Coturnix japonica: one gene and its partners. The protein of the gene in region 2 interacts with the protein of the main gene of each other region in a pairwise test. Links are inferred from orthologs where the notes say so. Each region holds a gene or a part of one and is shown on either strand. Other genes may lie near its edges. The genes, in order: WASL, RHOJ and PAK2.

Evidence for each region.
Region 1: the proteins of RHOJ (region 2) and WASL interact in binary tests that used the Homo sapiens proteins (3 or more experiments, as listed by UniProt). The two-hybrid records come from large-scale screens. The link is inferred for Coturnix japonica from reciprocal best matches to the Homo sapiens genes RHOJ and WASL.
Region 3: the proteins of RHOJ (region 2) and PAK2 interact in binary tests that used the Homo sapiens proteins (3 or more experiments, as listed by UniProt). The two-hybrid records come from large-scale screens. The link is inferred for Coturnix japonica from reciprocal best matches to the Homo sapiens genes RHOJ and PAK2.

The regions. Positions count from the first base shown.
Region 1 is NC_029516.1:20,092,298-20,096,396, forward strand, and holds the start of WASL (neural Wiskott-Aldrich syndrome protein), read right to left. Parts: upstream 2,885-4,099; 5' UTR 2,521-2,884; coding exon 2,404-2,520; intron 1-2,403. UniProt on the Homo sapiens protein: Regulates actin polymerization by stimulating the actin-nucleating activity of the Arp2/3 complex. Involved in various processes, such as mitosis and cytokinesis, via its role in the regulation of actin polymerization.
Region 2 is NC_029520.1:48,610,087-48,614,472, forward strand, and holds the start of RHOJ (rho-related GTP-binding protein RhoJ), read right to left. Parts: upstream 2,852-4,386; 5' UTR 2,432-2,851; intron 2,272-2,431; 5' UTR 2,234-2,271; coding exon 2,056-2,233; intron 1-2,055.
Region 3 is NC_029524.1:3,542,834-3,546,479, forward strand, and holds part of PAK2 (serine/threonine-protein kinase PAK 2), read right to left. Parts: intron 2,996-3,646; coding exon 2,895-2,995; intron 2,384-2,894; coding exon 2,233-2,383; intron 1,357-2,232; coding exon 1,325-1,356; intron 1,050-1,324; coding exon 942-1,049; intron 102-941; coding exon 1-101. UniProt on the Homo sapiens protein: Serine/threonine protein kinase that plays a role in a variety of different signaling pathways including cytoskeleton regulation, cell motility, cell cycle progression, apoptosis or proliferation.

The DNA of each region.
Region 1 (4,099 bases), on a different chromosome or scaffold from region 2:
CACCACCTGCAGCAGTCTGGGAACACAGATGGACCAGCCTGTGCGAAAGCGAACTTGTAGCATCCTAAGAAACTTGCAATATTGTTCCTCCCCTACCATTTATTAAGTTTTGCTCATGAATAATTCAGGCATGGATATTAAGAGATCAAATAACACGTGTATTACAGCAAGATGGCACTCATCAGCACAGCATGCTAACACTGAGTTACAGTCAAGTCAGAAGGTCGATAGTGCCAGGAGTGCCATTAGACTCTGATCCGACATTCTGGATTCAAACCCGATAGCAGAGACCATCCCCCGTGCCCATTTCACTGTTCTGATAGAGGCTGCCATCCCTGTGACAGAGAGACTAGATTTGCTCATGAATCAGTTTCCCTACTGCCACCTTTTTGGCTCAGCCCAACAAGTCTGGTTTATCTCTTTGAAAGGGCTGACAATAGCAGGACACGGGGAAATGGTTTTAAGTTAAAGAGGGAAGATTTAGGTTGGATGTTAGGGGGAAGTTCTTCACTAGGAGAGTGGTTAGGCCCTGGAACAGGCTGCCCAGGGAGGTTGTGGATGCCCCGTCCTTGGAGGTGTTCAAGGTCAGGTTGGACGGGGCCCTGGGCAACCTGATCTAGTAAAGGTGTATGTTTGGTGGCCCTGCCAGGCAGGGGGGTTGGAACTACATGATCCTTGAGGTCCCTTCCAACCCGGGTCATTCTGTGATTCTGTGATCTCTGGAGCTTCTGGACTCGAGCCCTCAAGGATACAGCAGAGACCAACTACAACATGAGCCTATGCTTAACCTGGAGACTACATGGGACAAGGGACAAAAGGGAAGTGGCTGGGACAATCAGGAAAGCTTTAACTGGAATGTCATCCAAAATTCAGTGGAAGCCTTAAGGATGCATAAATTCAAGTAAAACATGAAGAGAGTCACATCTACAAAGCTATCAACACGCCACAGATCACATCACCCAGGTACTATGCTGATATAAGTCTGCCTTAAGTGCTATTTATGCAGAAAGTTGAGAACTTGAGTAGGTGAGTGTTAAAGCTGAGCATAACGCATTCCATTGACAAGAAATTCTGAGTTGTAGAAAAACAAACTCACACAAATTCATGTGCTTTTGTAATTTAGAGTTTTACTATTTTATTATTATTACTATTCTGCAAAGGAATTTAACACATGAAATGTGTGCCTGAAAAACAGCTTGATTACAGATTTCTTACAGATTTATTGCTTTCCAAAACAAAGCCCCTCTTGATGTGTTTCACGATCACATCTTCTGACCCATTCCAGTGTAATTACTACGACAACATCCTATTTAACTCACCCAACGTCAGCATCGCCTACTTCCTGCTCAGCTACTGCATCTCCTACAGGAGTCAGTTCGATCAACAACACCATTTCAAAGTCCAGAGTTATGCAGAAGCATTGCGGCCGTGCTGATATCCTGCTCTGAGACACGAGCTCATGCTCATGACGTACCTGTCACTGCATGACAGCAGGACATCAGGGTGCCTGTATTAGTAACCCAGCACTGCACACAAAGCATCAGAAGACATTCAGGTCACAGTTCTGAATGGCTTCAAGTGGCCATTTGAAAAACAGAAAGTAAAAGAGGAGCATTTATTCAAAAAATACAGAAAGTTTAAGATGAGCTGTACTTCTCCTAAAACTTGCAGCTAACTTTTAAAGGCTTCAAGCAGTTTCTGTCGCTGTTTTATAAACGCAGATGAGTACAACTCTACATTAAAATGCAAGAGGGTATTCCAAAAATGCAGAACTCAGTGACATACTTGGGAACGCATTCACCAGAAGGTTTTTCTGCTTAGATTGCTGTGTTGCCTTATGACTATTGATTTATTTTGAGCCTAGAGCTGGAGGCGCAGCACCTGAGCACACGGACTAAGTACGGGGCAGGGCAGGCCCGGTGCGGACACGGGCCTTCCACCGCTTTGTCGTGCCGCAGGTGCACCCGGGGCCGTGTAGAGCCCCCATGCCGCCCCAACAAGCTTCCCCTCGGTGTGAGGGGTGAGCGGAGCTCGGCTCCTCGCAACACCCGCAGCCCCGGCCCAGGCGGCTCGGAGCCCCCATCGCGCGCCCTGCGGAGAGGTGAGGCCGGCCCGAGGGTTCGAGCGAACGGTCCCGCCGCCATTCATTGCGTCCCCTACGCTCCGGGCAGAGGCCGGGCCCTGCCGCCAAGCCCCCAACCGGGCAGAGAGCCAGGCCGGGCCGGACAAAGTTCCGTGCGAGAGCCGCGTACGGGGCAGGGACGGAACGGGGCAGGGAGGGAGGAGAGCAGCGCCCGGCCGCAACCCTCCGCCGTCCTCACGCGGCCCCGGCCCTCCGCGCGCGGGGTGGGAAGGGCCGGGGCCGGGCAGCGCCGCCGCCCCTCGGCTCGACACGGCACTCACCACGCATTTCTTGCCGAGGAAGCTGAAGAGGCTCTCGTTCTCCTGCGGGGTGAGCAGCAGCGAGCCGACGTTGGTGACCCGCCGCGGCTGCGGGGCCTGCTGCGGGGCGCCGCTCATGGCCGGGCCGGCACGGCGCTGCCCTGCGACCGTTGGAGCCCGCGGCCCCCTACTCCTCCTCCTCCTCCTCCTCCTCCGCGGCGGCCTCACTCACAGCAGCCGCATCGCGGAGCCTCCCTCTCGAGGCCGGGGAAGGAGGGAGGCGGAGGGGTAGGGGGGCCCGGAAAGCGGCCCGCGGAGGGGGGCACCGAGCAGGAGGCAGCTCCGCGCCGCAGCCGATGGCTCCCGCCCCTCCGAGCGGCACTAAACTTCCAACTTCGGCCCGGCTCCGGCGGCCGCACAATCCAACATGGCAGCGGGGGCGGGCGAGACCACAGAGCGCGGCAGCCAGAGGGGAGGCCGTGAGAGAGAGAGAGAGCGAGAGAGCGCCGCCGCCGCGACCATGCGCCGTGCGGGACAACGCCGCCTTCCGATCCGGCCCCTCCTCGCCCCGCCAGCTGCCGGGGAGCGCCGCCCGCACTGCCCTGCCCGCAATACCAGCCTGCAATACCTGCCCGCAATACCTGCCCGCAATACCTGCACGGCCGGCCGGGCGGCTGCTGCGGGGCGGGGAGTGCGACGGGAGGAGGAGGGAGAAGGAGCGAGGAATGAGATAGGGGCACCGTGGGATGCAGTGCTCATGAGGCCGCGGGGGCAGCCGGCCGGGCCCTTCGCTGATTGAAAAGCTCTCGGGTCTGAAAGCACTAACGGGGCCTCCGTGCATTCACTTGAGAAAGGAGGTCTCTGCTAGGAGCTGTCAGCAAACGGCAGTAATGTTAGGTGAAGTTCCACAGTACAGTGGCGACTCGGGGCAGCCCGGCTTCATGCAGTGCAGCACCTCGAGAGCTGAGCTCCTGACCAGTTTAGAGTGAAGCATGGTTTAATTTGTAACTCAAAAACCTTTGTGACCTTTTGTCATTGGAAGGAGAATGTCTCCTTGTGCCTCACCATGCAAATAATCAATTGCATTACCGCATGCTGTGTTACGTTGGGGGTTAATGATGCGTTCTTGCTGTACAGAAGCAATTCCCTCTCTTTGCACAGTCAAACGGGGGGCGGAGTGGGTGTCAGCCATCGCCCTCCGTGCAGCTGGAGGTTAAACACTGCGAGCAGCGCTGGGAACTGTGAGCTCCCAGGGGGAAGATGCTGGGAAGAAATGCCGTGTGCAGGCAGTGCCTGTTGGCAGCAGAGCTATTGCCCTGCTTCACCCCACACATCAGTATCGAATGCTGAAGGCATTCGAAGCTCAAAGACACTGAGCTCAGCTGCTGTGTGCCCAGCCTGGCTTTGACTGTATGGAAGTAGTGCTCACACTTCTTGAGGACAAAGGTGAACGCCAATGGGATTCTGGTGTGTGTTAGAAAGTGTGGCCAGCAGGCTGAAGGAGGTGATCCTCCCTCTCTGCCCTGATGAGGCCAATGGAGTGTGGTGTCCAGTTCTGGACTCCTCAGTTCAAGAATGACAGGGAACTTCTAGAGAGAGAAGATGATGAGGAGCTTGGAGCGTCTCCCATGTGATGGAAGGCTGAAAGATCAGGGACTTTTCAGCCCAGAGAAGAGAAGACTGAGAGGGGATGTCATCACTGCTTATAAATATCTGA
Region 2 (4,386 bases):
GCTCTGGACAGGGTTTGCCTCAGAATAGCATGTTAATACACAGAGCTATTTTTTCTCTTATCTTTCTGAACTTTGCTATCAAGAACATTTTTAGCTTGTGTTTATTTGCTATCACAGCTTAGAAGGCAAATAAGAGCAGCTGGAGAGCTTTTAGAGGTCTAAATCTTCAAAGCCTGAAAATGTAGCTTGATTTAAAAGCCGAATGCTTTACCTGTTACCCAAAGGAAAGGAGAATTATGCAGTGACACTCTCCACCTGCCTGTCCTTTTCTCAGCAATTTCTGAGCCCTTTGGCAATTCCTACCATTTCTAACAGAGAATAGACAAAATCAAGGTATGTTCTGGCAAGTTACCAAATAGGGACATGCCTGGCGCTCCCACCCAGGCTGGCATCAACACTTGGATGTGCACACAGCCCCCATGCTCATATCAAAGCCACCTAACTTACAGGTCATCGGCTGGGACCAGCTGTCATATGGGTTTCTCCATATGCAGAGGTATTTACAGGTCTTGGCAGACTGCAGAGGGTGCTGGGAGTGGTGAACTGCTGTATGGCAAAGCTTTAGGGGACAAACAGATCTCTGTTTATCATGGGAAAGTATGTGGGTGTTATCACAATGTGGGACATAAATCTATGCAGTCTTGCCGGCGGCTTTTCCCTTGTGGAAGTGCTCATTTACACCGTGAAGTGTTCTTCCTTATATCACCTCAGGGTAAAGGCTTTTTCTAGAACGTTTCTTTGATTTGTCTGGAGGGAGTAATAGAGAAAAGAGAGCATTGCTCGCATTAGAAGTGACACTGCCCACTCTTGTGGAGAAAAAGGTCTTCACATTTCCACGGATCAGATCCTGCAATTACACAGCTTTCTTGTTTGGCCAGTTCATCTGCTAAACCTGACACGGAGCCAGAATGAAAACAGAGATTTTCCCATTACAGAACACCAAATCTATGATAAGCCACGCCATGAAAATTCAGTTTTTAAGGAGGTGGAGAGAGAATGAAGGAAACTCCAGCAGCTGCTGCACAAAAAGCCACAAGTTTCACAGTGCTAAAATCCGTTCTTGGAGGAGATCTTAAAAACAACAACTATAAGCCAAAGGAGCAGGGAGATAAGAAAAACAGCAGGATCTGGGATAGGGAATTTTAAGCAGTAGTTTGAGCAACGATTTTAGGCTGTCACACCATCTGGGTGGTAACTTTGGACACAGCTGGGTAAAGTAATTGCTAAGGACAGAGGCCTGTGAATGTGGTACTTGGTCTGTTTTGCACAATGATGTAGTGAACGTCATCTATGATCTTTGTTAGATCTGTATTTTCATTTAATTAACAAAAAAAAGAAAAACTCCTTCCCTATAAAGCACTCAAACAAATCACCCCTTCTGCTTCCCCCACCTCCAAGTCATAGCATTAAATTCTATTTATAGACAGAGCAACAAATGGCTCTGAAAGGAGAATTACATTTTGACAGCACTCAGAGATGTGCTGCTGTTCTTAGAGATCACTCCCTAAATAGGATATAAATATTATAACTTATACCCTTTTTGCTTCATGGCAGATGGTGTATATGTAGTACCTTGGGGCATGGTTTAGTGAGCAATATTGGTAGTAGGTGCATGATTGGAATAGATGAGCTTAGAGATCTTTTCCAACCTTAATGATTCTATGCTTTTAATGTATACATGCATAAATATAATTGTCACCGCTTTCAGCCTTCAAAGTTCAGGACTTCAGGAGTTTTATAAAAAATACAACAACAAACAAAGCAGCTGAGTATAATCTGACTGGCTGAATTCTGTTTGTTTTCCTGAAAATCCAGTGTGTCTCTAACGTTGCTTATTTACTAAAAATCAGAAGCAAGCAAGTTCTCTGAGTAAATCCCACGTTGCCCCAAGTGTATGAACTGCCATCTAAGCCCTCTGGCCACCATCCAGGTCTGAATCACACTCCTTCAAGAGCAGTAACCCGTGCATTGCCTTCAAACCACCCTCTCCAATCCTTGATCCTCTTTCACCTCCCACCTGACTCTCGATTAAGTATTTTTAAAGCTCATGCTTACCTGCATAGTGATCAAACACGGTGGGCACATACTCCTCGGGGAAGGCATCATTGGCGTAGCTCATCAGCAAACAGGTTTTCCCCACGGCCCCGTCCCCAACCACCACGCATTTTAACATCTTCTTGGTGCTGTTGCTGCTTCCATCCGTGCAGTTGTCACCTTCTGCCTTGCAGCTCATCCTTGCGTCTGTTGCCGCTGCTCCTGCTGCTCCCGAGGCTTCCAAGTGCACATGAAGGAGAAATGAAGTGCGATTGTATGGACTTTTCCTGAGTTTGGAGTAGTTGGGGAAGGGGAGGGAGAGGAGGGGGGGGTAGAACTCAAGCTCAGGAAATCATACTAATGTTTCCAGGCTGTCACAGCTGCTTCTAACAATTACCAGAGCAGTCCAGAGAATCATTGAGGTGAATAGATTAAATTCATGGAGAGGAGTATCGTGAAAAAGCAATCTGTCCTTTCTTGTCCGTCCGAGTCAGGAAATCCTCATCCTGCCCCACAGTTCTCCGTACTTATTGCAACTTAAAAAGTATCAGCAGCCTGCGGCTTGGATTCGTGTCTGCCTTCCTCCCGCCTGGCCGCAGGAATCGGGGATTCCTGTTAAATCCACTCCATTTTCCATCTCATTTCTAACATGGAGGAGAGCCTGGAGGTTTTTAATGGAGTTTTTCCTTTCTTTCTCCAGCTTGCTGTGTGTCAGGAAATCATGGGTTTCCTGCTGAATTCCATATTAGGATCAGTGGGCTTGTGAAGGGCTGCAAACAATGGGAGCTCTGTGTGTATTTGTACTTTGGAGGAACTCTGCCAGGACGTGGAGAAAGAATAACACTAGAGGTCTCTCTGCAGACTGAAGTTTTTAGGCTTCCTGCTCCATCCCGTGCCCGGGCTGCACTCAGGGCTGCTGGCACTGATTTGGATGGGGAGGATTTCAGAGAGGCATTGGGACCATGGGGGGCATGGTAATTCTGGGAGCCATGTGCTACCCCAGCAGTGTCCTGGGCATAATCCCCACTGATCCCATATCGGTGTTTTCTTACACGTGGGAGACAGGAGGGGATGTGGGAACAAGTAAGGAGAGTTTAATGTGAATTTGCTCTGTTCTTATAGCTCTTAAAACAACAACAACAACAAAACTTGGTTTGCAATAACTAATTACTGGTTAGTCAGACACTCAGAATGTACACCTGGTTTTCCCCCTCATCCACTCAAAAAAAAAAAACCAAGTCATTTTATTTACCCCTACTGCATAAGCACAGAGAGGAGAAAAAAAAAAAATAAAAATAAGAGTGTGTTTATATGTATGTATATACAAAATTCCCATAGTGGTATGTGGAAAAACAGCTTTGAACTTCATGATCCCTGCCCCCTCATCTAAGTTTTGTTCTGGTCTCTCATGTGCCTCCTGGCTTCTCTCAGTTTAAATATATAGCAGTCTATACATGGGCAAGATGAAGGGCCAAACTCCCTGTTCCTTCCACAAGAAAGATTTTGCATTTTCCTGCAGAAACGAGCCAGACATCAACATAAACCCCAGCCCAGTAGCTCAGCACATCCTGCTGGCTACATTTCCCTTCCATAAGCTTAAAAGGCTTTGAAAGTGGGAAACAACACCCACTGGGTTTTTAGGGGAAGCTCATCAGTGCTAAAGGCTCCTCTCTTCCTGCCTTGCACGTGAAATGCTCAAAAGCTCACACAGCCTCTGGGCCATGCACACCTGGAAGTGTAAAAACCAGTGTAACTTTAGTAATGAATCTCCTTAGCACCACATCTGCAGTGCTGCCAGAGCTCTGTAAGGACCCAGCCGTACGATGGAACAGGCTCTCAGCACCTTCCCTAGAGGTGGTCGATGGATGAAAACGGTGAATAAGGTGAACAATATTTGTCTTTTTTCTCAGTTATCCTTCTGTTATCAGGTGTGTATCAGTCATTCACTAATCTATGCAATGTGTCCCATGGTCATAAGCTTTTCCATCCTCTGTTGACAACAGGGATCTGAGCTTTAGACCCAGCATTGCACCCACTGTCTCAGGTCATCACTGCAAGCTTTCCTCCAGTTAGGAGTTCAGGTGCCATCCTTTTAACTTCAAAACTACAGTCAACATCAGAAATTTACCCAATAAAACCTGTGAGTCCTGGGCACACAGAGTCCAGGCACTCTCAGGGGGTATTAGGAATTAAAGGCTGTCATTCTTTTAGCTTCTAATCGTAGCTGGGGCAGACTCCAGGCTTGTACCCATTTAAGTATCACATGGCCTTTTCTACCAACCCACCAGCCTTATTGGGTAAGTTTGCTAGATCCATGAGCATGTAAATACTGTTGCAAAGTTGCTTGAGGAG
Region 3 (3,646 bases), on a different chromosome or scaffold from region 2:
TTGGTCTTCTTTTTCTGCTTATCACTTGACTTTGTCCCACCATCAACAGAAGCGTCACCAGCTGGTGCAGGGATGGGGTCAATTACAGATCGTGTATAAATCTGTTTTTAAGAGAGAACATTCACTCATTTAAATTGTGCATCTCATTTACAATCACAGACCTTCAGTAGAAAACACATTTTTTAAGATCTTTAAGTGCCACTTTACCTAACAGCTTGGAGCCAGAAATTAGGCATTACATTCCAGTAAGACAAGATGCTGACAAGCCTAACTGGCCTCTGAAAGAAAGAAGGAAACTCTTTCTGCCCAGAATGGATGCTTGGGGATAAACTGCCACAGATAGACATTTCTAGGTTTTCTACTTGCTATCCATGCTAGATAAATAGTTGAAAGGGCCCTTCCTTTTACTTCACTGCTGCAATTTTCACCTTTAACAGAATAGGAATCAATATTGCACAGAGAGGACAACTACCCCTAAAAAGACAAAAAAAAAAAAAGATTTGTGCTTCAGCATGAAAAGCATCATTCTCAGATGAATTTCTCAGTTGTCACCAGTCCCAGGGATTTTCTTAGAGCTTTATTCTGTTTCCTTCTGAGCTGTTCAATAGCCACGCATTTGAAAAATAACACAAGTTCACAGCTGCAAACAACTACTGCAGCATTACCAAACTGCAGCCTTTTCTCATCGTTGAAGATTAGAAATGAAGCTTCAGTCTATGTGAAGCAGAATCAGTATCAATTGATGAGTAGAGATAACTCACATTGCTGTGCTCCTGGAGTGAAAATAAGCAGACACAGCAGAGCAACTGTATGTACATCCACCATGGTCAAATGAATCAGGGAATCCTGAGACTTAGCAAGATGGGTGGTTCAAGATAATCCAAAGAAAACAAAAGCTCTGTGAAATGAAGCTTAACACCATAAACTTTATAGCTGCTCACCGATTTTGTGTGATCTGGCCGCGGAGCAATAATAGGAGGAGGTGCTTCTTCATCGTCGTCATCATCATCTGCCACAGCTGTTGATGGCTCTGAACCTTTGGCATTGGTCTACGTTTTTTTCCCAAAGTTTAAAAAAACACAAATATAAACACAAAAAATTGTTTCCCCCGCAGTGTTAAATATTTGTATTTTGTTTGGGTTTCTTTTTTTTTTTTTGTTCTCCTATAAAATATAAGGCTATTCTTACTCATGTAAAAGAAAAGCATAGGCTGATTGGTAAAAGTAACCTATTATAATTTATTTAAGATTTGGTATTTAGCAAATACAGGAGACCTGAAATAATATGTGGTTAAGAAGAGACAAAGTAAAGTAAACTCACTCACCGTTGGTGTTCCTGAAGGGAATCCATCTTTTTCTAAATAGGAAAGAATGAAAAAGACAAAATCCTCAGAAAAAAAATAATTATAATGGAAAGTAAACAGCACAAAGAACAAGGATTGTTCACAGATTCCTTCATCTCTCAGAAATCAGACAGTAACAAATGAAAGAAACCAGTGCTGCACCCTATCTCCATGCAGAAGGAAGTTTCTAAAGTAGACAGCACTATTTGTTTCCCCACTTGCTCTTTACCTCACCTGCACAGTTTTCTAGACTCAGTACTGCTCATCACACTCACGCCACCCTTGTTTTACTGAGATGTGAATTAATGATTAAATTGATACATGTGTTCCATGAGCTGTATTTTGAGACAAGGATGAGGACATTACAAAGCTTTATTACTAAGCTATTTTCAGACTGCGAGTCATTTGGAAGGGAACTGCATTAAAGGAACTGTGTGCATTTGTAGGACAGTCGCTCTCCTAGCCCCATCACGTGGCTCCTGTCCTAGAGCAATGACTTATTTTGCATCTTTGGTGTCATCATGTGGGTAATAGAAACAGGTAAGTTCACAGATAACAAGCATCTAGACACACAGTTCAATCACAAACCAGAGGAGCAAGTTCTCCACTATGAAACCAGCTGATCAGTCACATATCCCCAGCTTTTTAATGGGCTGTGCTTATTTTTGGCTGTTATTTTGAATTATCCAGTTCCATTTCTTTCTCTTTCCACTTAAAGTGGGAAATTTACTGGACCAAGACAGTTTCCAGTAAGTTTTAAATCCATCTTCAAATGTTTGTTTCTTATTGAAAAATAGGATGCTCTTTCAGCTTTTCAATCTCATTTTCAGTTCACAAAGAGGAACAGCCAATTCCCCTTTCAGTATGCTCTGTGCACGCGTGCATCTCACCTGGAGCAGAAAAGCTCAGATATTTCTGTTTTGCTGTGTCTTTGGAGTCGTAGAACTTCAGCACATCTAGTACCGCCTGAGGGTTTTTCTTCTGTTCTAACTTGGTGATATTTGAGGTCTGTAGCAACCGAGCCCATTGCTCTGGCATTCCCTGAAATGAAAAGCCATTTAAAAAACAGAACAATCTTCTTTCCTCCAAGCAAAGCATAACATGTACGGCCTTAAGCACACCAAAATGTGTGATAGAGACTTATAAAGGTGATGAAACAGAGTCACAGCTGAAACAGCCCCAGATGCCTCAGCATCCCAAGCACTCAGGGGCTCCAGCCCACAGTGCCTTTCAGTCATATTCAGTCTGTCAGGATGAATGGGAACACAGAAGCACTCAACAGCACCAGGATTACAAACTATTGAAAGTGAACTGAAAAGGGAGGTTTCCCTCCTTGCAGCATTTCCTAAGGAAGGCTCTCCCAGGTAACAAAGCACTGGATGTGATCCTGACATTGCAGAAACACCAACAGGTCAGTCTCATTATTTTGTGTGCTTTATAAATACACAGCGTAATTATTTCTTCGATGAGAACAAAGAGATTAACTCTTCCTTCTAAAATACCACTATGTTCTCTGTAGCACTGACCCACAGCTGCCTTCCCAGCGACTTACAGTGAACTCTCCAGTGACAGCATCAAAGCCAACGTGGATAGTATGCTCAAAGTCTGACGGCGGGGAGATTTCTGGTCGTTCCTTTTCCTTCTTCTTGCTTCCTGAAAATACAAGGAGAGATCTATTGAGTAATGATTTAAAGTCCCACTGTCACCATTTCATGTAAGAAATCCAAGTAAAAGGATTGAGACAAATGCAACTGTTACTCTTTTTGCTGGATGGCAGAGTTTACACACACAGTACAGGACTTTGATATCTTCAAGCAGAGACTTCACGTAACAACCACCAACTCCTTTCACTCCAATCACTGTGCTGTGGCAGGATTATGAGCCCCAGAGCACAAGGAGCTCTGGAACACGTGAAACATTCACAAAGGAAAAAAACACCATTTTCACATGGATTTAAAACAGCGCTGAAGGAAACTGAAATCTCAAGTTCACCCTAAAGACAGTTAAAAACCTGGTTGTCTCACTGCTTCAATTCAAGGTAATTAATGCAAACTATACCTTCCTCAGTGAAGATAAAAACTGATGGCCTCAGACCAATTAATGACAAGAAAGCAAATCTAAGAAACACCACAAGCAGATAATGAGAGGGACCATATACACAATCCAACCCACAGAGAATTACATTCAGATATTTTACAATGCACAAGGTTTGCTTTGGGGATATTTTTTTCCCCATTCCCTGCAAATTGTCTCCCGTTTCTGCTGAACTGTAAATACAAAACCCAGTTAGGCACCACTACGTTC